Drosophila melanogaster: one gene and its partner. The protein of the gene in region 2 purifies or fractionates together with the protein of the main gene of each other region. This does not show direct contact. Each region holds a gene or a part of one and is shown on either strand. Other genes may lie near its edges.

Region 1 (11,224 bases), on a different chromosome or scaffold from region 2:
TAAACAGGTACAGTAATAGATACATGTGTGGGGTGTGCGGAGTGACTGATTTATTTGGCAGTAACAAGTTGACATTGTCCTCGGACACTTCAGTCCCTGACTCTCTGGCCCAACTCAGAGGTGATCCCCCCATCAAAAGGTCCTCCTTCCTACTTCCGGCCCGTATAGTCGATGCTATAGGAACCGGTGTAGAGGTTGAGATTTCGCAGGGAGGGATGATGTTGCTCCGGCAACCCCCTGTATGGCTGTTGCTGCTGGGGATTATAGTAGTTCTGGGCCGGAGGCTGGTAGTAACGGGGCTGCGGAGCCGGGGGATTGTAGTATTGGGGTGTGGGATTGTAGTAGGGCGTTTGTGGGGCGGGCTGCCGAGGTGGCGGGGCATACGCCTGCTGCTGGCCGCGGCCGAAATCGTTCAGACTGAATTTACTGGCCGGTGAAAGGGGGCGATTGAACTTCTGGTCCTTGTAGTACACCGAGGGGTCCTCACGATACTGGCCATCGTCCAATTCGTTGGGTCCCAATGGATAGGGATTGCTGTTGGTCAGCGTAGGTGGTGGCACATTGATGTGACTGCCAGCGGGCTCAAAGCCACGCTTACTGGCTCCATACTCTATTTCCCGCACTTTTCCCTGGTCATCCACATAACCGTACTTTCCATAGACCTCTCCATTCGCGTACTTGGTTTCGATCTTGAAGCTCTTATCGGCCGCTTCGTATCCATATGTGTAGGAACCATCGTCGTTGTGCTTGTCGATCTGCTTGAGAATGGGCACCGGTGTGGTGTAGTCCTGGTGTTGCGCATACGCACTGTGGGCCGCCAGAAGCAGAAGACCCAAGCTCAAGGTCTGCAAATTGAAAAACAAAGAGTTGAGTGAAAAAGTGACTCAAATCGTTTGTATCATTAAATCACCATTTCGGTCACACCCATCTGTAAAGTCAGCAATTATACATGAACTTTGCCTTTATTGCCTTACTTTTGGCTAAATACCTTAATTAGCTGCTCTGATTATCAGTTCACAAACATTCACTCAAGGACATGGCTGAGTAATGAACCACCAATTAAGTTACTCTTTATCATAGACACCGATCTGATCAAACCGGTTGGCTAAATTGCATTCTAAAAATTCACTGCGCATATTCTGAAAACACCTTTTGCATACCGATATGAATATCGAGCTTTGGAGATGTAACACTATAAACCACCTTGCTGAATCTTACCAATTTCAACATGCTGCCAAGCTTAGAACCAATTGTCAATGTCGAACCGTTTTCACCAATCTCCCAAAGTAGTTATGCACTGCGAAAATGGAAAATGTGTTCTGCACTTGCACTCGAGACTCTGCGAATCGAAACGACAAACTCAAAAGAAAATCAGGGCGTGCAACGCTTTTTATACCGCAGTCAACATTTCGCAAAAGCGGGCCAAGAGGGGAAAAAACCATGGCAGAAACTAAAGCTTCAAGCCGAAGTCTCTGGATCTGGCGATCAGCTGCGATCAGAAAACGAAAACGAATACGTTAACCGAGGCCCGAGCTCCCGATCCGATCCGAGAACCGATTCGACTTGGCTTGGAATGCAGCATAGAAATCGAAAGCGGTCGTCGGCCAGCTGTACTTACGTCCGATCGATATGCCCACTCACTCACCTCTACAGGTAATTCACTTACCAGCAGCAAGCCGACGCGCAGCAATTTCCAATCAGGTTGTTAATGTCGTCTACTCGAATTCTTGGCCAGCAATTTATGCTTCCAGACCGCAACACTCACGCATACGCAATGAGATCAGAGCAGCAACAGTGATGAGAACTAGGTACACTTGGTACACTTACACTCCATATCCTACTCATATTGGCACACTCTAGTTTGAGGTACAAAGTGCGATGTAAAATAGTTTTCAAGTGCCATCTAAAAACTTTTACAATTCACATCGATTTATCAGGTGTTAGTTATCTTTAAAGTTTATTTCATAGACACAATTAAAAAGTACCTTTGGCATCACTGAAATCTACAATCCAGAAAAGAATAAAATGCCAGTACTGCGAGGTGCGGAAGTGTTGCACTTGCTAAGCATTCCAATTATGCAAGTCAATTCCCCCCCACCTGCTAATCGATTGCAAATACCTGTCCAAACACCTTGCTCCCAGTTAAGTGCACTGGCCAATGGCAATCTGCATCCACAACATGCAATTTGACAGCTTATTTAGCCATTTCTCTTAGCCTGTCAAAACTCACACTTGAAGCTAGGAAAAGAAAGCAATACAAAAACTTATATGCTGGCATACTGACCTAGTCAATGCTTTGGCTAAAGAAACAGGTTGCTGAAATTACGTCATAGATAGGCAGAAAAAAATGTGATGGTTTGACTAGATCTCTGGAGATTTCTAGAATTTAAATTAGTTTATATGATGTTTTCTTTTTATTTCACAAACAACCAGTTAAGTAGGATCCAATTTATATAAAATAAATTGCCAAAATCCCCAAGCCACATTCAAAACAAACACAGTTGTCAACCTACATTATAATACTGAATTTATTCCATTTATTTCGGGGGATTTGCATTCATCTATCTGAAATCACATTCTACACTGTGCAAAATACACCAAATAACAAGTCATATAGCATATTCATCAAATAATAATGCAGAACCACAGATTTTCAGGTCTCACTGTGGCAAAGAATAAAAATGTATGCGTATTTAAAATAAGAAAATTCCCATGATACATAATTCATAATTAGTTGTTTTCTGTGTAGGTACTTATGTCAAAACCACAAGTTCGTTAACCCAAGAACCGCAGACCTTGGTCATGGTTGCATGCAGATAAATACATTCGCTTGGCTTCTTTTCCTCACTTGAGTATGCATATATGCAAAGATAGTTTGCTAGAATTGTCGCCTATAATTAATTGGAATATATATTCTTAAGAGAGATCTACTAAACTAAATAAATCCGTCAGCATTACAGTCGTCGCATCTTAATGATCTTGTAGAACCAGTTCGGCTCCAGCGAAAGTGAGATAGAATATATAGAATAGAATATATGTCTAAGTATCTAGATATATGTATTATGACAGTACTTTACAACTGGAAATGGAGTCGCCGGCGAGGCAAAGGCTAAGTAATATTATAAAAATTAATGCATTTTCGAGCTAGGGTATCGCATCAGATGAATCGAAAGATTTGGGCACCCTGTACGACCACAACAAGTCTAATGCGGCCAAACTCGTTTACTTACTAATTGTACCGAAATAAATAAAATAAATATATATAAATCGGCAAAACAAAGAAATGATTTTAAAAGTTATACATTCGAGCGGTCCATTTCGAATAAAATTACCGGCGGCCAGACAGAATCGTCATTTCAATCAGAGCATTCAAAGAAAACGGTTCTAGTCATCACATTTTGGAATAAAATTATCAAGATGCTTATTAAAGTTGCCAAGTTCCTGAGTATTGTAGCCGTACTCCTTTCAGCAGTCGAAGGAGCTAAATATCTGGCAGAGAAACGTAATAAACATTTAATACAACATATTTTGGTTGAGTTAAGTTAATAATATTCTTAAATGTACAACTTTCAGCCGACTTCCTAATCCCATGTATCGTGGGCGATCCCAACTTTAATGTCTGTCTGACCAAAAACTTCCAGAGTTTCTTCCGTCAGTGGAAGGACGGAATTCCCGGCTACAATGCCGTGGGATCCTTTGATCCTTTTTACATCAAGAGAGTGAAATTTACCCAGGATGCCAGCAGGTCTATAGCTATCAATGCCGATCTGAAGGAAGTCTATGTAGCAGGTGCTGGTCAAGCATTAGTCTTGGAATCCAGGTAACCTATTTAAAGATTCTGACGAAATCAAGTTTGACCATTAAAAATTCTCAGCTGGGATCCAAATCACTATGTAGCCAGGACTTTGATTTCCGTGCCCAAGTTGCGTTTCAATTTCGATTACAAAGTCAAAGGACACGTCTCAGCGCTGAATCTCAATGGTCATGGCAAGGGATACTTCGAAGCTGGTAAGATGCAATCTACAATTTATGCGAATTACTATCTTAAAGCCGGTTTTATTCAGAAAATGCTCTGTTATTGTTGGAATTGGCTGTCAAACCGCTGGCCACCTCAGATGGTTATTTCGCTGATGTGCAAAGTGTAAAGGTAAATTTCCGCGAGATCAAGCAATTCCGCATCAAGCTGGAAAATCTCTTTGGCGGCAACAAGGATCTGGAGGATACTGCACACATTTTGTTCAACGAAAACTGGCGCGACTTCTTTGAGGTACTGCGTCCGGCGGTGGAGCAAACAGTTGGCGGAGTGCTTTTGGATCGGTTCAAGAAGACCTTTGTCTATGTACCAGCTACCTATTTGATTAAAGACTTTCACTAAATGCTAAATTAGCATATAATCCGGTACTTCTATGTTATTTTAATGGGTTCGTGTGCTCTGTCGTTTTGTATTAAATGGGTAGTAGTGTATGCTTGATTTATTTTTTGGTGGCACTGTATTAGAATTATATTACAAATTATTTTCATATCTTTGCATTCAAAGTGCTTCTATTATATTTTCATCTTTAGATACTTTTCTCACTGTATACTCGCTATTAAGTCAGGAAATAGGTGAATTAAAATGATATTATATTCAGCAACATGAGTTGCTCTTGGCCCCGGCATCGTTAGGTTGCTGTAAGTCGTTACCATATATGAGAACCCAAATCTCGAATCTTGGCAGTTGAGAATAAAACGCCGGATCACAGCAAGTCGCCGGCTAGTCGGTTTCAAAGCGTGACACTGTTTGATGTGACTGAGCAGCGGCTGCCTAGACCGCGATACGTCTACAGTACTATTCGCTGAGCTACTTAGATACTTAACTACTTGATTAATAAACAGTTGCCAAAACGACACCATGAGCAGCACGCGCTACGGCCGCACTTTGCTCGGCATTTGGAGTGGATTATTGGCCATTTTGTGCCTGAATGAAATCGCCATGGATAGGTCGTTGGTTTCAGCCGTTGCCTACTACTCCGAAAAACGTAAGTAGATGTCCTCAGAGTCGCAGTTCTTTTCAATGTTAGCAAATCGTGTTGCTCAGCTGCCTTTCTGCCATCTTGTCGGATCTACGAACCGGGCTTCACCAAGTGCTCTACGAATAGCATTCAGAAGCTTCTTGATCAGTTGAACATTGGAATACCAGAGGTGCTCGAGCGGTTCGGTCCCTTTGATCCCATGAGAGTTAGGGATATAGTTTTCAAGCAGGATAACAACGAGGTGGCCACCATCAGAGCCAATCTGACTGACCTGGTGGTCAAGGGTTTTGCCAACACAAAGGTCAAGGAGAGTCGGTGAGTACAAAGAATATGAAAGTCCTACAGATAAATTATGTATATTTATACTGCTGCTTTTGGAGTCAATAAATCTCTGCAACTTTGCGGAACAAATATATAAATATCTTTTTTCGACCACCAGTGTGAGCAAGAAAGACTTTAGCTGGCAGACCAAAATATATCTTCCGAAAATGAGACTGGATGGAAGGTATGAAATGGCTGGACGAATACTCCTTATACCACTGAGTGGCTCTGGCAAAATATTTATTGAGATTGGTAATTAGATTTCTATCGATATTTAAATGCGGGTGCAAATGGGCAGCTAACACTTTTAAATTCCCGCAGATGATCTTGACATTTTGCTACTAACAAAAATACGTCTGTATGAAAAGGGTGGCTTCACCTTCGACAACGTGACCGCTGTGCAGGTTCAACTGAATCTGTCCAAAGTGCGCACTTATCTGGACAATCTATTCAATGGACGTAGCAAGGAGGTGGAGCGCAGTACGAATGAGTTTTTCAATGAAAACTGGCGGGATTTCTACGAGGCCCTGAAACCACTCATCGTTGAGACGGTGGAAAATATCCTTTATGATGTAATGTCTACGGTTTTTCATTTAATACCAGCCAACTTTTTCGTTGAGGACATACCAACGCCCCAGCAACTTTATGGTCCAAAGGAGATACTTGGCAAAAAAGAATAGTTGAGTGATATCTATTATTGTTAACTTGTAGTACGCCATCCCCAAATTCTTTCAATATTTGTAATAAAAATCATTAACGAATATCCATTTTTCATTTTATCAGTAACTTTTATTGTATAATGAGAATATTGCTGACTTCCCGCTAAAGCTCAGGCTCGAATGATATCAACCTTATTGGGAGAGAAATATACACCGAACTCCCTCTCTGAAAACGAGAAAAATCATTAAGTTATTCAAAAACTGTTTGAAACATGGCTTACCATTCTTGTCCACGTGATATGAGCGTTTCCTAAATATATAAATAATCAGCATGGTGGTTATTATTGCCAAGATGAAGGCCATAGAAACAATCGTTATAAATACCCACTTCAAGTGTCTTTCACTCTTTTCATGGCCTGTAAGGGACCCAAGTGAATCCATAGATTGGCATGAGTATCCATCTATCGGACTCTCACCATCCCAGCAGACACAAGAACCCGGAAATTCGCAGAGCCCATTGAGGCACTCGGGTTCGCAAATCGGAAGACAGATCAAATTGTTGTCGTCCTCATTCCTATGCAGCTTATATTGTTTACTACAAGTACAAATTCCTTCGACGCAGGTTCCATTTCGGCAGTTCTTATCACAATCTGAATAATCCCCAAGTAGCTCCTTGTCAAGCTGGCAACTTTTACTTTCTTCAACGAAAATGTAACCGTCATCGCACTTGCAAAAATCTGGAGAAACGCAAAGCCCGTTGACACACCCGTCCTTACAAAAAGGTGCACAACTGATTTCCGTTTCCTTGCTGTATCCTTCATCACAGGAACACTTTCCTGGTGCAACACAGAATCCGTTCTTGCATCCACCTGAACAAACTGGAGAACATCTGTTTTCACTGTCCATTTCATATCCATCATTGCAGGAACACTTTTCTGGTGCATCACAAAATCCGTTCTCACATCCTTTTGAGCAAATTGGTTTGCAACTGTTTCCTGTTTCCCTGCTGTATCCTTCATCACAGGAACACTTTCCTGGTGCAATACAGAATCCGTTCTTGCATCCACCTGAGCAAACTGGAGAACATCTGTTTTCACCGTCCATTTCATATCCATCATTGCAGGAACACTTTTCTGGTGCTTCACAAAATCCGTTCTCACATCCTTTTGAGCAAATTGGTTTGCAACTGTTTCCTGTTTCCTTGCTGTATCCTTCATCACAGGAACACTTTCCTGGGGCAACGCAGAATCCGTTCTTGCATCCACCTGAGCAAACTGGAGAACATCTGTTTTCACTGTCCATTTCATATCCATCATTGCAGGAACACTTTTCTGGTGCATCACAGAATCCGTTCTCACATCCTTTTGAGCAAATTGGTTTGCAACTGTTTCCTGTTTCCTTGCTGTATCCTTCATCACAGGAACACTTTCCTGGTGCAATACAGAATCCGTTCTTGCATCCACCTGAGCAAACTGGAGAACATCTGTTTTCACTGTCCATTTCATATCCATCATTGCAGGAACACTTTTCTGGTGCATCACAAAATCCGTTCTCACATCCTTTTGAGCAAATTGGTTTGCAACTGTTTCCTGTTTCCTTGCTGTATCCTTCATCACAGGAACACTTTCCTGGGGCAACGCAGAATCCGTTCTTGCATCCACCTGAGCAAACTGGAGAACATCTGTTTTCACCGTCCATTTCATATCCATCATTGCAGGAACACTTTTCTGGTGCATCACAGAATCCGTTCTCACATCCATTTGAGCAAATTGGTTTACAACTGTTTCCTGTTTCCTTGCTGTATCCTTCATCACAGGAACACTTTTCTGGGGCAACACAGAATCCGTTCTTGCATCCACCTGAGCAAACTGGAGAACATCTGTTTTCACCGTCCATTTCATATCCATCATTGCAGGAACACTTTTCTGGTGCATCACAGAATCCGTTCTCACATCCTTTTGAGCAAATTGGTTTGCAACTGTTTCCTGTTTCCTTGCTGTATCCTTCATCACAGGAACACTTTCCTGGTGCAACACAGAATCCGTTCTTGCATCCACCTGAGCAAACTGGAGAACATCTGTTTTCACTGTCCATTTCATATCCATCATTGCAGGAACACTTTTCTGGTGCATCACAAAATCCGTTCTCACATCCTTTTGAGCAAATTGGTTTGCAACTGTTTCCTGTTTCCTTGCTGTATCCTTCATCACAGGAACACTTTCCTGGGGCAACGCAGAATCCGTTCTTGCATCCACCTGAGCAAACTGGAGAACATCTGTTTTCACCGTCCATTTCATATCCATCATTGCAGGAACACTTTTCTGGTGCATCACAAAATCCGTTCTCACATCCTTTTGAGCAAATTGGTTTACAACTGTTTCCTGTTCCCTTGATGTATCCTTCATCACAGGAACACTTTCCTGGGGCAACACAGAATCCGTTCTTGCACCCACCTGAGCAAACTGGAGAACATCTGTTTTCACTGTCCATTTCATATCCATCATTGCAGGAACACTTTTCTGGAGAAGCACAGAATCCGTTCACGCATCCATCCTTGCAAACAGGAGTGCAGACACCTTCCAGCTTCGTGTACCCGGCGTTGCAGGAGCACTCGTTGGGCGCCACGCAGACTCCGTTCTGGCAACCCTCGGGACAAACGGCCAAGCAGACATTGTGCCCTATTTTCGTATATCCCGTCAGGCATTGACAGACGTCCGGGGCAGTGCAGTTTCCATTCACGCATCCGTTTTCGCAGATTGGAACGCAGTTTCCATCGATGTCCTTTTCGTAGAATTTGTTGCACTCACATTTGTCGGGAGCCCGGCAAACTCCGTTGCTACAGCCATTTTTGCATTTCGGCTGACACTCAAACGATTTGGACTTTGGCTTGGGAATGAAACCTGGATTGCACTCGCAGCGATTCGGAGCCGCGCAGAAGCCATTGACTGCCGCGCAGTTATCCTTGCACGTTGGCAGACACACCTGGGTGGTTGGATTCAGCTTGTATCCTTTGTTGCAACTACAATTGTTGGGCGTTATGCAAGTCCCATTGGGACAACCACTAGCACATTGGGGTATGCAGTTGTTTGTCGTTTTGTCCAGCAGATGGCGCGCGGAACAGATACAGCGGCCAGGAGATTGGCAGGTTCCTCGACTACATCCCTTGCAGTAGGGCACACATCTGTACGAAATAGAGAAAAGCAAATGTCATAAATCAATGGACATAAATCGATGCATTTAAGGCAATCTTTTAAGTTTTCATTTTGGCAAACTTTTTATCTCGTATGTGAATTTTGCAATTTAAAATGACCGTTTATGACCTCCTAATCAACATTCATTTCCTTCTTTTTAATGGGACGATATTTGTATTTTACCGAGTTATTATCATGCATTTTATTTGAACACACAAATGAATTAAAATGAATGAAGCTGGCGTTGGAAATACTATCCTACGACTTGACGATTATATATTCAGAGAACCTATTTATACACTGATACATTAAGTAATACAAACTGTCCCGATTAAATATTGATTATATATACAAATTGAGTCTTATTCTTTTAGATCGTATTACCTACCGGTTAGATGGATCGTTATTTAAGTTGACATATCCTTTCTTGCAGGTACATACATTTGGTTTCGTGCAGAAGCCACTTCCACAATTAACTTTGCATTGTGCAAGACATCTGAGTGCGGAGCTCCTTACTTTTTTGTAACCCTTGCAGCAATCCCTCGTTTGAACGTTCTAAGCCCGTAAATTAATTAAATAATGAATTGAATTATTATTTTTGATGGACCGCCTACCACAGCAGTTCCTTTAATATTCCTAGTAACATTAACAGTGCAGATCTGAGCCGATACGAGTCCGAGGAGCAGGGAATATATGGTTATCCTACAAATCCACATGGTGTCTTTAAGTATACAACTGATCCCGGTGCCTTTCAAAATATTACTAAAGACGCTTGAGCTAAATATATTTTTGCAAATGCTTTTGCTTGAAACAAAACTTGCGGAGGGGACTTATCAGAGAACTCAATTCAAGCAAATCCCATGGAGATTTTTACCAAGCGGTTAGTGGAGCTAAATTGCTTATCGCAATTCTATTCTCCTTTATAAGAAGAATGAGAGAGGATCTCGCCCAGTCTGCCAAAGAGCAATAAACAAAGGAAAATTTGAAGGTCTTTCATTTGTTGTTACAAAAGTCATTACTCCAAATATTTATCATATTTAATTTCAATTTGTAAAACAAGACGCCACTTTTTGTGATAAATCAATTTTTACCATTATTAATATCAACATCTGTTCGCACTACATGCGTTTTAAAACTATTTAGCAGAATATAGGGTATGTATCAGTCGGACTAACCGACTATAGGGTATACATATCTGTATTTTACTATGTTAATCAAACTAGGCTTGTGTATAAGAACGAAATATGAGAGCATAAGAAAATGTAATGAATTGTAATTGTAATACGAGAATAAAAGTATACAACGATCAGCAGAGGTTAATATACTCTTGCATATGATCTATAAATACTGATGGATATCTATTATAACATTCGAACACATCTAATGCATTTTTTTAAGCTCAGAGAATCGTTAAAAACAGTCGGTGATTCTGATAAAAAAAATATACATTTAAGTTACGAACTTCTTATCAAAGTAATGATACCCTTCTTTAGGGTGTAAAGGGTGATTGGCTCTTTATAGAGGTTATGCTCGCAAATGTTAAATATAATATATATAAAATACTAGACCATGACATAATTCAACTATGTAGGACTAAAATTTATAGTTAGATGAGAGTCATGAAAATCTTTGTAAATAAATACCGGAACAATCCCTCTCTCACATTTTTTGTGACTTTATAACTATCTAACACCCACTCAATGGATACTCAGATACACACAGCAATCTCAAAAATATATGACATCATTCGAGCGATTTTTGAAGTTTGATCCATGTATTTATACTTATTGCAGTTATTAGATAAATAACACATTGTGTTCAATTTGAAAGATGCTCCATTTAATGTTTTTATTATGGCATCTAAACTTTTTATTGCACCTCAGTTCAAGCAATTAAGTTCTCCCAGATCAAAACAGAGCCGAATACAGAGATACAAACAGTGTTTCGTTCGTGCCATAGTTGTCAGCGTATTTTCCAGATAGATATTAAATTAGCTTACCGGTTCGGTTGCAAGGTAAAGTCGCTACAGTTTCAGAGTCGC
Region 2 (11,227 bases):
AAGAGTAAAAATGTACTCAATCGAAAGAAACCTGTAAAACTAAGTCTGGCCGAGTTTCACAATCAGCTGGATGAAATGCAAACTGCAAAGACTTGTGAAAAGACGAGCGCGGAGAACTGGAAACATTTTTTCTCGAATGGCAGTGGAATAGCCAATGGAACTCGTGGTCGTGGCGTTTGTTGTGAAAAGCTTTCAATAGTTGACCAAATCGAGGGACGTGCTATAGTTCAGAATGGAGCGACTACCAAAGCGAGAGGGATATTTGAAAGTACATTGAATAGTGTGGCAGAGCGAAAGAAACATTCAGAAAAGTTGGATAATTCCAAGAGTGCAAATCAAACCGTAAAACCCGAAAATAGCGATATCAAAATATCATTACTGCAGAGACCTAATCCCCAGGATGCTACCCAAGCACGGAGCAAAACGCGAGTTCGATCCGCTGGCCGAATTCCCGCGCCGCCAAGAAAGGTGCCCAAAGAACTGGAGGATCTGGATCGCATGACTTCAGCGGATTTCCGACACGATACCGCCGCTCGTCTGGATGTAATGCGAAACCGGCAGAAGGATCAGGCACACATGTACTTCTTTCAATCTGTCATCCATCACCAACGGCATCTCATCAAGGATCGCACAATCCTGGTACTCTGCTGTGGCACTGGAACACTGGCCCTTATGGCAGCCCAAATGGGAGCAAAAAGGGTGTACGCCGTGGACTACTCCAAGGTGACTGGCTATACAACCTTGGTGGTGCGGCAAAATGGCTATGAAGGTGTGATCACGGTCATGAATGGTCGCATGAAGGATCTTAAACTCCCGACGAAAGTAGATGGCATCATATGCAACTGGATGGGTTACTGTTTGCTCTACGAATCGGAGATATTGGAGGTGCTCGAGGCGCGTGATCGCTGGCTAAAGAAAGGCGGCTTTATTCTACCCGATCTGGCAGCTCTTTATCTGGTTGCATCCGAGGAACACAAACTGAAGAGCGAAAGATGCAATCATTGGCGCAATGTCTACGGATTTAATATGAATGCCATACGTCGATATGCGCTGGCTGAACCTTGTGTGGCCCTAACGACCGGCAAAAAACTTCTGACGATGGCTCATTGCGTTCTCAGACTAGATTTGAAAAGAGCCAGAAGAGAGGATCTGTTTATAGATCGAAACATTAGACTAAGTGTCAATAGAGAGGGATATCTCGAGTGCTTTCTTCTCTTTTTCGAAGTGCAGTTTAGTAATAGCTTAAACTTTAAGCTGAGCTGTAATCCCTGCTTAAAGTCGCCTTTCAAATCGCTTTGGATGCAATCGGTACTCTTTGTGGAGCAGCCCTTTGTAATGCGAAAAAATATTCACTACACGGGTAACCTGAAGTTCAAGACACTAAAACCGAATAAATTCAACGAAATGGAGATATGTATTGAGTTTTACGAGGGTAGAGAGTACGATTACGATTTGGTCATGTGCACCCTTCGGGTGGCCAAAAGATGGCTCATGCTGGAGGGCTTTCAGACTTTGAGTGATGTGGAGAGCTGTCAGGACGAGCAGGGGGAGACTGGTGGCCTGTACCTTTAGGTCTCTCTCAATATATATTATTGTTAAGCCCTTCAGTTGACTTTATGCTAATTGTGGTTTCACTTTATTACAGATGCTATCGGTACAGACGGCCGGCTGCGCGGGAATGGAGCGGCTCGGCGTTCCGACCCGCACATCTTTGAGCACACCACCCGATGATAGGTATGTCGAAGTCGAAGTACTCCCTATTGCAAAGCAGAAAATTCTTATAATAGCTTAAATGAAATCCTTTCTAATACCTATATACATACAAATCCATGCTAATTTAATTTCACTTTAATTGTAGGGATCAATTTAGATGTAGAATGCGCGTGGATGCGCTCCAGGCACGTGAGCTTCTGGCTGTACGTGGCGAGACTGTGATTCGCGGCGCCGGCAACAATCAGCATCAGCAGCAACACCATCTCCATCACAGCAGCAGTAGCAGCAACAAGCAACAACATTCCCACCACCAGCAACAACGCATGACAACTCCAAGCACGCACAACTCCAGTGGCGGCAGCGGCGGAGGAGGAGGAGCAGCAGCAGGCGGTGACCACCAACACCACCATCAGCAACACCAGCTGGGCAACAGCAGCAGCAGCAACAACAACAATAGTATTAGCAGTAATGTGGCGCGCGGCGGCATAGAAGCCACCACGCTGAAGTACGGAAACACGGGCAGCGGGAGCGGTAGTGGTTGCTACAAGGGCGACTGCGGCAACTCCTCAACCGGATCCTCGTGCAGTTCGCTGCAGAGCCATAGCAACGACCACCACCAACATTACCAGTACCAGCTGCAGCAGCAGCAAACTCCCCGCTGTCCCCATCACGTACCACTGCCGGACAGCGAGTACGGACAAGATCGACACCTGCAGATCAGGAGCAGCTATCAGGTAGGTTACCTTAAATACACCTTACAGCCATATACTAACTAATCGGCTTTGATCCCAAACAGCAATCGGAGATCACCAGATCATACACGAAGCCGCCGCCCAACAAGACAGTGCGGGATGTGCCCGAGCAGATCTCGGCGGGCGGCTGTGGCGTCTCCAGCTCCAGCTACCGTCTCACCACGCTCCAGGCCGCCTCCTCAACGTACACGCCAGCGGGCGTGTCAGTGTCCGCCTCCTCATCGTCCAGCAAATCGAAGCCGAATGCCATAACCAAGTTCTTCTCGCGGATCAGTTCGCCCAAGTCGCCGCCGAGCTGTACAATGACCTCGGTCGCCACAGCTTCCCCAGCATCCTCCGTCTCCATGTCGTCGTCCGCCTCCTCGCTTGCTTCCTCCGCCTGTGTGTCCACCTCGTCGTCAGCCTCCTCACTGGCTGCTGCGCCTACGCTGCCGGTGTCCAATGCATCCCTGTTGAAAAGCACGGCCTGTGGCTATGGCACAAATCCCAGCGGGATCTATGCAGGCCTGGGACCGAGCACGCAACTGCTTACGAGCCTGGGAACCGGAACAAGCGGCAACTGCAGTCCCGAACGGATACCCACACCACCGTTGTCCGTCTCCGTGCCAATCGGAGCTGGCCTACAGCCGCTGAGAAGTAGCAGCAGCGGGAGTAGCAGCAGTACCGCCAGCCTAGCCGCCGTCGAGACAACCACAACTACAGCCACCACTCAGTCTTCCTTTGCCGCCGGAGCGACGGGGGATCTCCCGCTGACCACGATGAGCCGCAATAATTCCAACTCTAGCATGATGAGCTACCACTGCAGCTGCAATGGCCGAAATTGCAGCCACTGTGCGGCCAACTCATAACTGAGCTCGTGTTAAGTTTAACTACATTAAACAAATCTGGTGGTGCGGAAACCACTGGAGATTTTAGAACATTAGTTAAGTTTCAACAGTTCACTAGCCGATTTGAACTTCTCAAACCGTAAGACTTTGCATGGTATTTGATCATAATTTGTAAACTTACCGCAGGTCTTGTGTCTAAAAAGCTTTACTTGAGGTAAAATATTGCCAAATTTAGTGAAATACTTATCTTTTGTTGTCGAATCTCCAGAGATTTGTGCGGCACCTCCAATATATATATATACATATATATATATATATATATACATATATTTTTTTTATGTTAGCCTATGTTTATCTATTATGTTAAAGTTTAACAGATTTATTTAATGTAGGTCTGTCGCCAACTTTTGCGCTGGTACGAAAAGACTGTTTATTAGTCAGAATTTAATTTGTAAATTTGAGTAACGAGAGGAAAGAAAAGTTAGAGAATGATACGGAGAAGACATATGTATAGTTGCGCTGCCGCCTTTTAAGCACTCACCACAGACCGTAGAAGGTTCATTTTTAAGTTATGTAACATTATTTCCATTCGTCGCTTGATAAAAGTAATAAGTCGAGAACGTTTTTGTAAAAACCAAGAAAGCAACAAACTTGAAAGAGACAGACACAATACCATAAAAACTGAAGAAAGGGAATGAGGAAAGTAAATAACAACACATAAGTGAATATGTAATTGTAATTTTATGAATGAATATTGTATACACTTTAGTTTCAATAACTCTAGTTTTAAATCGAAGCCAACCAACTCTTAACTATACTCTATCCCCCACCCCCACCCCCCTATCCAAATCCCCTTATCCCCTATTATTATTGTACGCAAGGCCCATGTGCTGGAACACACGAAAACACACACAAACAAACAATTTTTAGTTCAATTGAAATTTGTATTTGTATATTTGCTAACGGAATTACGATGTAAAGAAAAAAAAAAACAAAAAATGAAATGAAATCTATGTAAACCAAATTGTAGAGAAATTATTGTTTTCATTTTAAATTGGCTGCAGCTAATCTTGATTTCGGATTTTAGCGGGATACATTTTGAATTTTAAATTTAAAACGTAACGATCGATGAAACTGAAGTTATCGATAACCAATTGCAGTCTGGCAACAACGGGCGATCGTGCATTTTCAAGTGTAACTCTGGTCGAGTTTTGGCGGTTTATTTAAAATTAGATTGGCATTATATTTTTACGTTCTGAGTTTAGGAAAATCAAAGAGTTAAGAAAAAGTCCCATTGCAATGTATATTATAAGCACAATTAAGCAACTCAGAGCTTTTATTGTTTAGATATCCAGCCTTATTTATTAGTCTATAATTTCACGAATTTCTGAAATTCCAAAAATGCGTAATTTTTCAAACAACCCGTGCACCTTGTTGCCCCAAACATTTTATATTGAAATTATCAAAGAGAAGGAAAAACAAAAAATGGTTTCAAGAACTCACGATCCATTAAATCAAGTTTAAAACACATTTAACCAACAATTTAGATGAGAAATGGAATGCGAGAAACTAGGAAAATATGATAACAAATGCAAAATAATGGAAAACGAAAACACTTTACTACGCCAACAAGTCCTACAAGCCTACATTTTAAATACATAACGATATAGTTCGATGTCTATGGATCAAAGAATACTTAAAGTAATGCAACCGGAAATAGCCCGAAATATCACAGAACGAAGAGAAAACCGGAGACAATGAATAACTAAATTAAACGCGTAGAATTTAATCACTTAATTAGTTCTAAACAAATTAAGTCCAGCTAAATATCGAAGCGATTAAACTCGTTTGATCGGAGAATCATATACACATTTATACAAACAGGCCTAATTTCAACTACCTCCAAAACTGTTTTTTAAATTAAAAATTAAATTCTAAACGAAGATCAAGTCTACGAATTATGTTTAGCGAAACTAAACGGAAACTAAGTAAATCAAATGAAATGAAACAAATCGATTAAATTATAGTAAATCAATTGATTGAATTACGATTTTTTTAAATTCAAGCAGATCGATTAATTCAATAAATCAACAATCATTGACAAGTAATTAATTTTACACTTTATATATACGATATTTATTACTATATTGTATCTGTACGTTTAGATCGAGAATACAAATGAAAGCGCACACGAGCTGCGTTTCGAAAATGCAAAACCGTCGACTGATATATATAAATATATATATAACAAAAGCTAAATAAATAAAGTAAATAACAAGAAAAGTATAGAGATTCATTTGTAAATACACCGAATGCAGGACAATGCGCTGCGGAGCATTATGTTAATGTAACCACACCCAATCCCAAACAGTTTCTCAACAACTTTTCGAAACCATCCGAGATCAAAATCATCCCATCTACCATCTCCCACTTCCCAGAAAATCGAATTTGATTTTTGATCCCTGCAGGCAAAGTGCACCCAATACTAGCGAAATTTTTTAAAGCGCATTATGCAAAACGTCTAATATACAAAAATCGGAATAAAAATCGATATATATCTAAATACATATATATATTAATTGAATACCAATTATTGTTGTTGTCTCATATAAAACGCAAAAGCATTAAAAGCAAAAAAACAAAAATGGGAAAAATGAAAGCAAATTTAAAATATATTTCCAAAATATATAGAACATAACTATGAAAACATAAAAACCGTTTTTTCTTTAAGCAACCAAATTTGTTGTCAACTGGAAACTTTTAGCTTTGATTGGCACTTGACACACATTATTGCATTTTGGGTTTGACTGATTGTACGATATGAACCCTGCAATGTTCCAGTTATCAATAAATGGTGTCGAAGTTAATGGACATAACTAACTCAAAGAAAATTCCCACCATAAATTACTCAACGGGAAGTGTTCAAGTGAATCATAAACTGTGCTTAGATTTCACCAACGATAGAAACCCACTCAATGACAACTCGCGCCATCCATTTGCATTAATGATTTGCACAAATCCCACCCAAAAAAAGGAGATTGGTCACTGCCCACACTAGTAGCAGGTCGCCTTGAAAGACGGTGAAATTCTCACGTATTTCTTATCAACCACAATGCAGACAGATTGTGGAAATAACTGAAATAAAACAGCAAATAGTAATTGCCCGTCGAGGGGGAAATGGGGGAGAACAGGTACAAGGCAAGTACAAGCGATCTAGGCGATTGTTTGAACTATTGATAAATGTTAAACATAAGCAAGGGTCGCCCCTTGGCACGCGTCCAGTGTTTCCGAGTCCGTCCAACGGTTAACAGCTCCTAAAATTATCGAATCAAGAGCGCGACTTATTAAACGCAAATTAACAGCAGCCATTAAAAGACATTCGCGAACAGCGGAAAGCAATTAGGAAATCAAATCAGCAATATGTCACAGTTGTACGAACTCTCGGAGGTGGCCCAGCAGAACGGCAAGAATGGCAAACCCTGCTGGCTGATCATCAAGGGGAACGTGTACGATGTAACCAAGTTCCTCGGCGAGCATCCTGGCGGCAGTGAAGCACTACTCGAATATGGCGGCAAGGATGCCACCAAGGCCTTCAAGCAGGCAGGCCATTCCTCCGACGCAGAAAAGGATCTAAAGAACTACAAAATCGGAGAAATCAACTCAGCTGCACCCATTCAAGTGCAGCCAACGTCCAATGGTGCAGCAAAGCCGACGGCAAACACAATATCCGAAGATCCCGAACCCGCGAAGAATAGCTCCTCCGGTTTCTGTTGCTGCTAGTCATAGGTTTACATGTCATTTGATTGATTTATTAACATAGGATGAGGTCGTAGTTAGTTTATCATAGTTAAATTGTAAATAGTTCTAGGTTTATCTCATAATAGCTACATCTTCATGTCCACAAAGCTATCTTAAAAAAGATCAACTCTTCTTAAACGATCTGAATAAATTGCAAACAAAGCCGGCGGAGCTGCTCCACCAATTTCAAAAAAATTAAACTAAATCCAAACGATGCCTAATCTTTCGGTTCGGCCTCCATGGTTGGCTCGCTGCTGGGGGCAGCCGATTGGAACGTACTGCATGCAGTGTCAAAGTAATCCGTCGTGAAACTGGTCACGTTTACCGTGTGGTTGCGCAGATAGTGATAGAATCTACTCGACTTCCGTTCCAGTCCTGCCCGTTCCTTTTCGCTGCGGCATATGGAGCGCAGGGCGGGCTCGAAGTCCAGCGATTTGGCGGAGTCGGAACGGAGAACTCCGTTGCCCAGGTGCTGGCAAATTGAAAACCTGGAAAGATTACAGAAAGTTATAAAAAATGAAAAAATTAAAGCATAACTAAAATAAGTTTGGTATCTAATTAGTGAAAAGTCTGGGCACTAATTTAATGAATAGGTGTGTTCCTAAGATAGTTATAAGATCGGTCATTTTTATGACAAGGCTATTAGAATTCCGAACGCTAAAGATATCTTGTGACTAGTTGTTATTATGACTGCTGGATGATAACAAAACCCCGGTTTCCTTTTTCCATCGATTACTGCCATGACAGCTAATTAAGTTAGCATTATTAAGCCTTAAAATGTGTTTAAAGCAAAATAGATATAGATACAGATAGATATTGTTAATAAAGATCTTTTGATATTAAAGTGTTTATATATTGGCTTAGTTAAAGAGTAACTCATCATTTTGAAAATCTTACCTCTGAACCGGCTTATCAAATAGATTGTAGGGGCACTCCTTGGTCGCGAGTCCAGTTTGGAGAGCCTGCTCCACCAGCAGGTGACCGATTTCTTCGGACAGGTGCCACTGCAAGCGATCACTGCAGTCGGAGTCCATCAACGAAGCCACCGAAATGTTGTCATAGAAGGATGCCAATGTGGCGAGCGATGAGCTGTGCCCATCGGACTTCTGCCCAGTGGCGCTGCTCAGCCAGGCCTTCTTTGGTGAGCGGGACTTCCGCTTGGCAGCGGTTCTACTTCCACCGCCCGCTGCCTGCTGCTCCTTTAGCATCGCCGAACTAGCCATAAGATCGGGGAGATTCAAACGCAAGAGGCTGAAGTCAACGGGAAAGGGTATTCGATACTGGACATTCTGCGGGCTTGTAAAGAACTCAAAGAATCTCTGATGGATTCGACTGCCATCGACGGTGGCCAGCCGGCTATTTGAGGTTTTGGTTGGTGATTTAATCCCACCGCCAGTCCTATCGCGAGTTGAATCTCCACCACTCTGAATGTAGAACTGAAGTTCCATCAACGTCTTGCGCAGATTCTGTTGATTGTATAGATACACGGATATCAATTCGTCCAACTCGATGGGACAGTTTTCCATTAGCGATAAAACGGCCAAGAATCGGGAGATGTTCAATGCGTTCGGAGCTTGGAAATGGATTATATTCTGCTGCATTAGGCGCTGCAAGTGCGCGCAATTCGGATCCGTGGCAACCACAATGACCGGCCTCTTGGAACTGGCGGCCAATGTATAAATGGCATCCGTAAATCCAGCGTCCAAGTTATCAAACAAGATATCCGCATCCTCGATTAGGATCAGAGACTTCCGTACTTCGGAAGGAGGTTCCACTGCGGCTGCTTTTGCTTTTAATCCACTCTTTTGCAACTTTTGAAGCAACTGCTGTGAGGATCCTCCACCCGCTTTACCATCTTTCCTTATCTGATGCGACTGCGTGGCCTCTTGAAGTTCCTGTATCAGCTTCTTGCCCGTCCTCTTCATCCCTGCATTTATCTCCAAGACATTAAAGTTCATGTCGTTGGCTAAGGTAAAAACGGCATTGGTCTTCCCGCTGGATGAAGGTCCGACCAGAACCATCGTGTTGCTACTTGAGCCCATTGATGCCGAATCATTGCTCATGTCAAAGGTGTCATCCATGCCCTGCGAGTTTCGATTGCTACCTCCATTGCCACTCCAGCTGGACAGGAACTCCCTAAGCTCCTGCACTGGCGTCAGATTCACCAGAACCTGTTCGAACAGCAGCGGTTTGTACTTCTCCGTAAAGAGCAGCTCGCCATTCGGAGCGGAAGGCGGTGGTTTCGCCTCCTCTTCGTTCTGTGCCATATTCTGCTCCATTGAACGGCGAGTGCGACGTGTTACCACCAGTGATTCTCCCATTTGCTGCGTATCCTGTGCACTGTCAATGGCGCTGAAGTGGCGATACTTCTCCCTCATCTGGTTATAGCACTTAAAGGTGGGAAACCGATCGAAATCATTCTTCCAGAGCTTCACAAAGCCACGTTTATTTTCCAGCTGTGGCAAAGTTGCATAGTTGAACTTGTTCAAAGTTTTGCTGGATGTAAAATCCGCGGGCAGACAGCTGGTGATGCTACTCGCTTTGGCACGTCGTTTGTTGGCGGGTAACGCTTTCGTAACCTCGGAATATTCCTCTTCTGCCCTCAGAGCAAAGGGAATGTCCAGAGGACCGTTTTTTGAACCGAAGCTCTCGCAGCCTATATGCGCCAGTCTGGGAAACACTTCATAGCTATCTTCGTACATCTGGTCGAAGTTCTTTTGACGGATCTGCTCCTGTCGAATTTTGTCCGGAACTCCGGATTGCAGAAACGCCTGTCGAGCCTTCAAAACCGACGGATCTGGGCTGGGCTTTGGCAATTGACGGACGAATAGCGGCGCTAGTTTCTTTGGTGTGGCAGCTGGATTACTATTGTCTAGGTCAATAATCTCTACAGACTCGTCTGCCTTTTGGGGCTTCGCCTTTTGTTGCTTGCCGGGACTCGTTTCCAGATCGTAATCGTAGCGCGCTTTGCCCACACACGATCGTCTTGGTCTTGACGAGGGAGTGGATTCGGCTACAATGGGTGTCTCTTGCTGGCTCTTTCTGCGCAGTGTTCTTCGCTTGGGTGTCTCCATGGGTGGGGTTTCTATCGCAATGATCACCTTTTCAGCTAACTCCTTCGGGGATTCCACTTTGGGAAAGTAGCCCAGCAGGCTGTCACGCTTTTTCGTGGGCGACGAAAGCTTCGAGAGAAGCTCCTCTGTTCCTGGATCTTGATCTTTTGCTTTCACGACCGGGGGCTTCGATTCCACAATTTGGTTCTGTGCATCCATGGAACTGATTCGTCGAGAGCGCGGTCGACCTCTTAGACGCTTGACTGTTGGATCCGTGGGTGCCGAGGATGGAGCCGTCACCTCTTTGGCGTCAGTCTTGGTCAGCATTTTTCGCAGTCTAGGGAAATAAAATGTTGTATAGCGCTCTGAATCTAATTCTTAATCAAACTCACCTCTTTGCCCTTTGCTCCATCTGCAGCTCAATGAACTCCCCGCGAGCTTCGTCCGCTAGTCTTCTCTTGGCTCCCCCCTTGCGTTCGTTCCATTCTTGGAGGAGAAGCTTCCGTTTGGTGGTCGGCGTTGCTGCCTCACTGCCGATTTCTTGATCCGCGGGAGATTCTGCCCCACCTTCATTAACCCCCAGAGAGCGATTCCGAGCATTCATCATGAACTCAAAGACATTGGTGGTTGGCTTCGGTTTGGCTGTGCTCACCGGAGAAACACCCACGTTCTCCGGCTTTCCCGCCTTGGCGAAGTGCTTCATGATGCTCTGATTGTCGGCCACCGGAGTGCTGGACTTCAGCGGACTGGACCGCCGCCGACCGTTCTTGAGACCGTTTTCTTGGGAGGATTTCTCGCGAAGTGGCTGCGGTTTCTCTTTGGCATTCGCCTTGACCTCCTCGGTGGTGCTCTTCTGGTCCTCCATGAGTGCTGCGCGGCGCTTCTCCTCCCGCTTTCGCTTGTGCTTCTCCCGATGCTTCTGCTTCACCGAGTTCAGCACTTCCTCCATGTTCTGGAGTATCAGTTTGGATTTGGCGCTGGGCGGTGCTCTCAGAACGAACGGAGATGTGGGCTCGACGGGATCCGTGGCCGCATTTTTGGAGGGAGTTCCTGGTGGACTCGCAGTGGTCGTTGTGGGTGCAAT

What was found.
Region 1: the proteins of CG5157 (region 2) and CG14259 purify together in Drosophila melanogaster (affinity purification with mass spectrometry, with the first as the bait; one large-scale study listed by BioGRID). This does not show direct contact.

What each region holds. Positions count from the first base shown.
Region 1 is NT_033777.3:27,089,762-27,100,985, forward strand, and holds CG14259 (uncharacterized protein), read left to right. Parts: upstream 1-4,771; 5' UTR 4,772-4,891; coding exon 4,892-5,018; intron 5,019-5,077; coding exon 5,078-5,327; intron 5,328-5,451; coding exon 5,452-5,585; intron 5,586-5,654; coding exon 5,655-6,013; 3' UTR 6,014-6,095; downstream 6,096-11,224. Other genes in the region: Cpr97Eb (cuticular protein 97Eb), read right to left, coding at 150-845, 1,219-1,230; CG14258 (uncharacterized protein), read left to right, coding at 3,418-3,502, 3,574-3,820, 3,875-4,008, 4,065-4,375; eater, read right to left, coding at 6,163-6,218, 6,274-9,173, 9,572-9,738, 9,798-9,899.
Region 2 is NT_037436.4:16,132,547-16,143,773, reverse strand, and holds CG5157 (uncharacterized protein), read left to right. Parts: upstream 1-5,894; 5' UTR 5,895-6,712; coding exon 6,713-7,072; 3' UTR 7,073-7,287; downstream 7,288-11,227. Other genes in the region: CG32152 (uncharacterized protein), read left to right, coding at 1-1,572; CG5151 (uncharacterized protein), read left to right, coding at 1,646-1,734, 1,859-2,447, 2,510-3,313; elg1 (enhanced level of genomic instability 1), read right to left, coding at 7,308-7,578, 7,988-10,480, 10,536-11,227.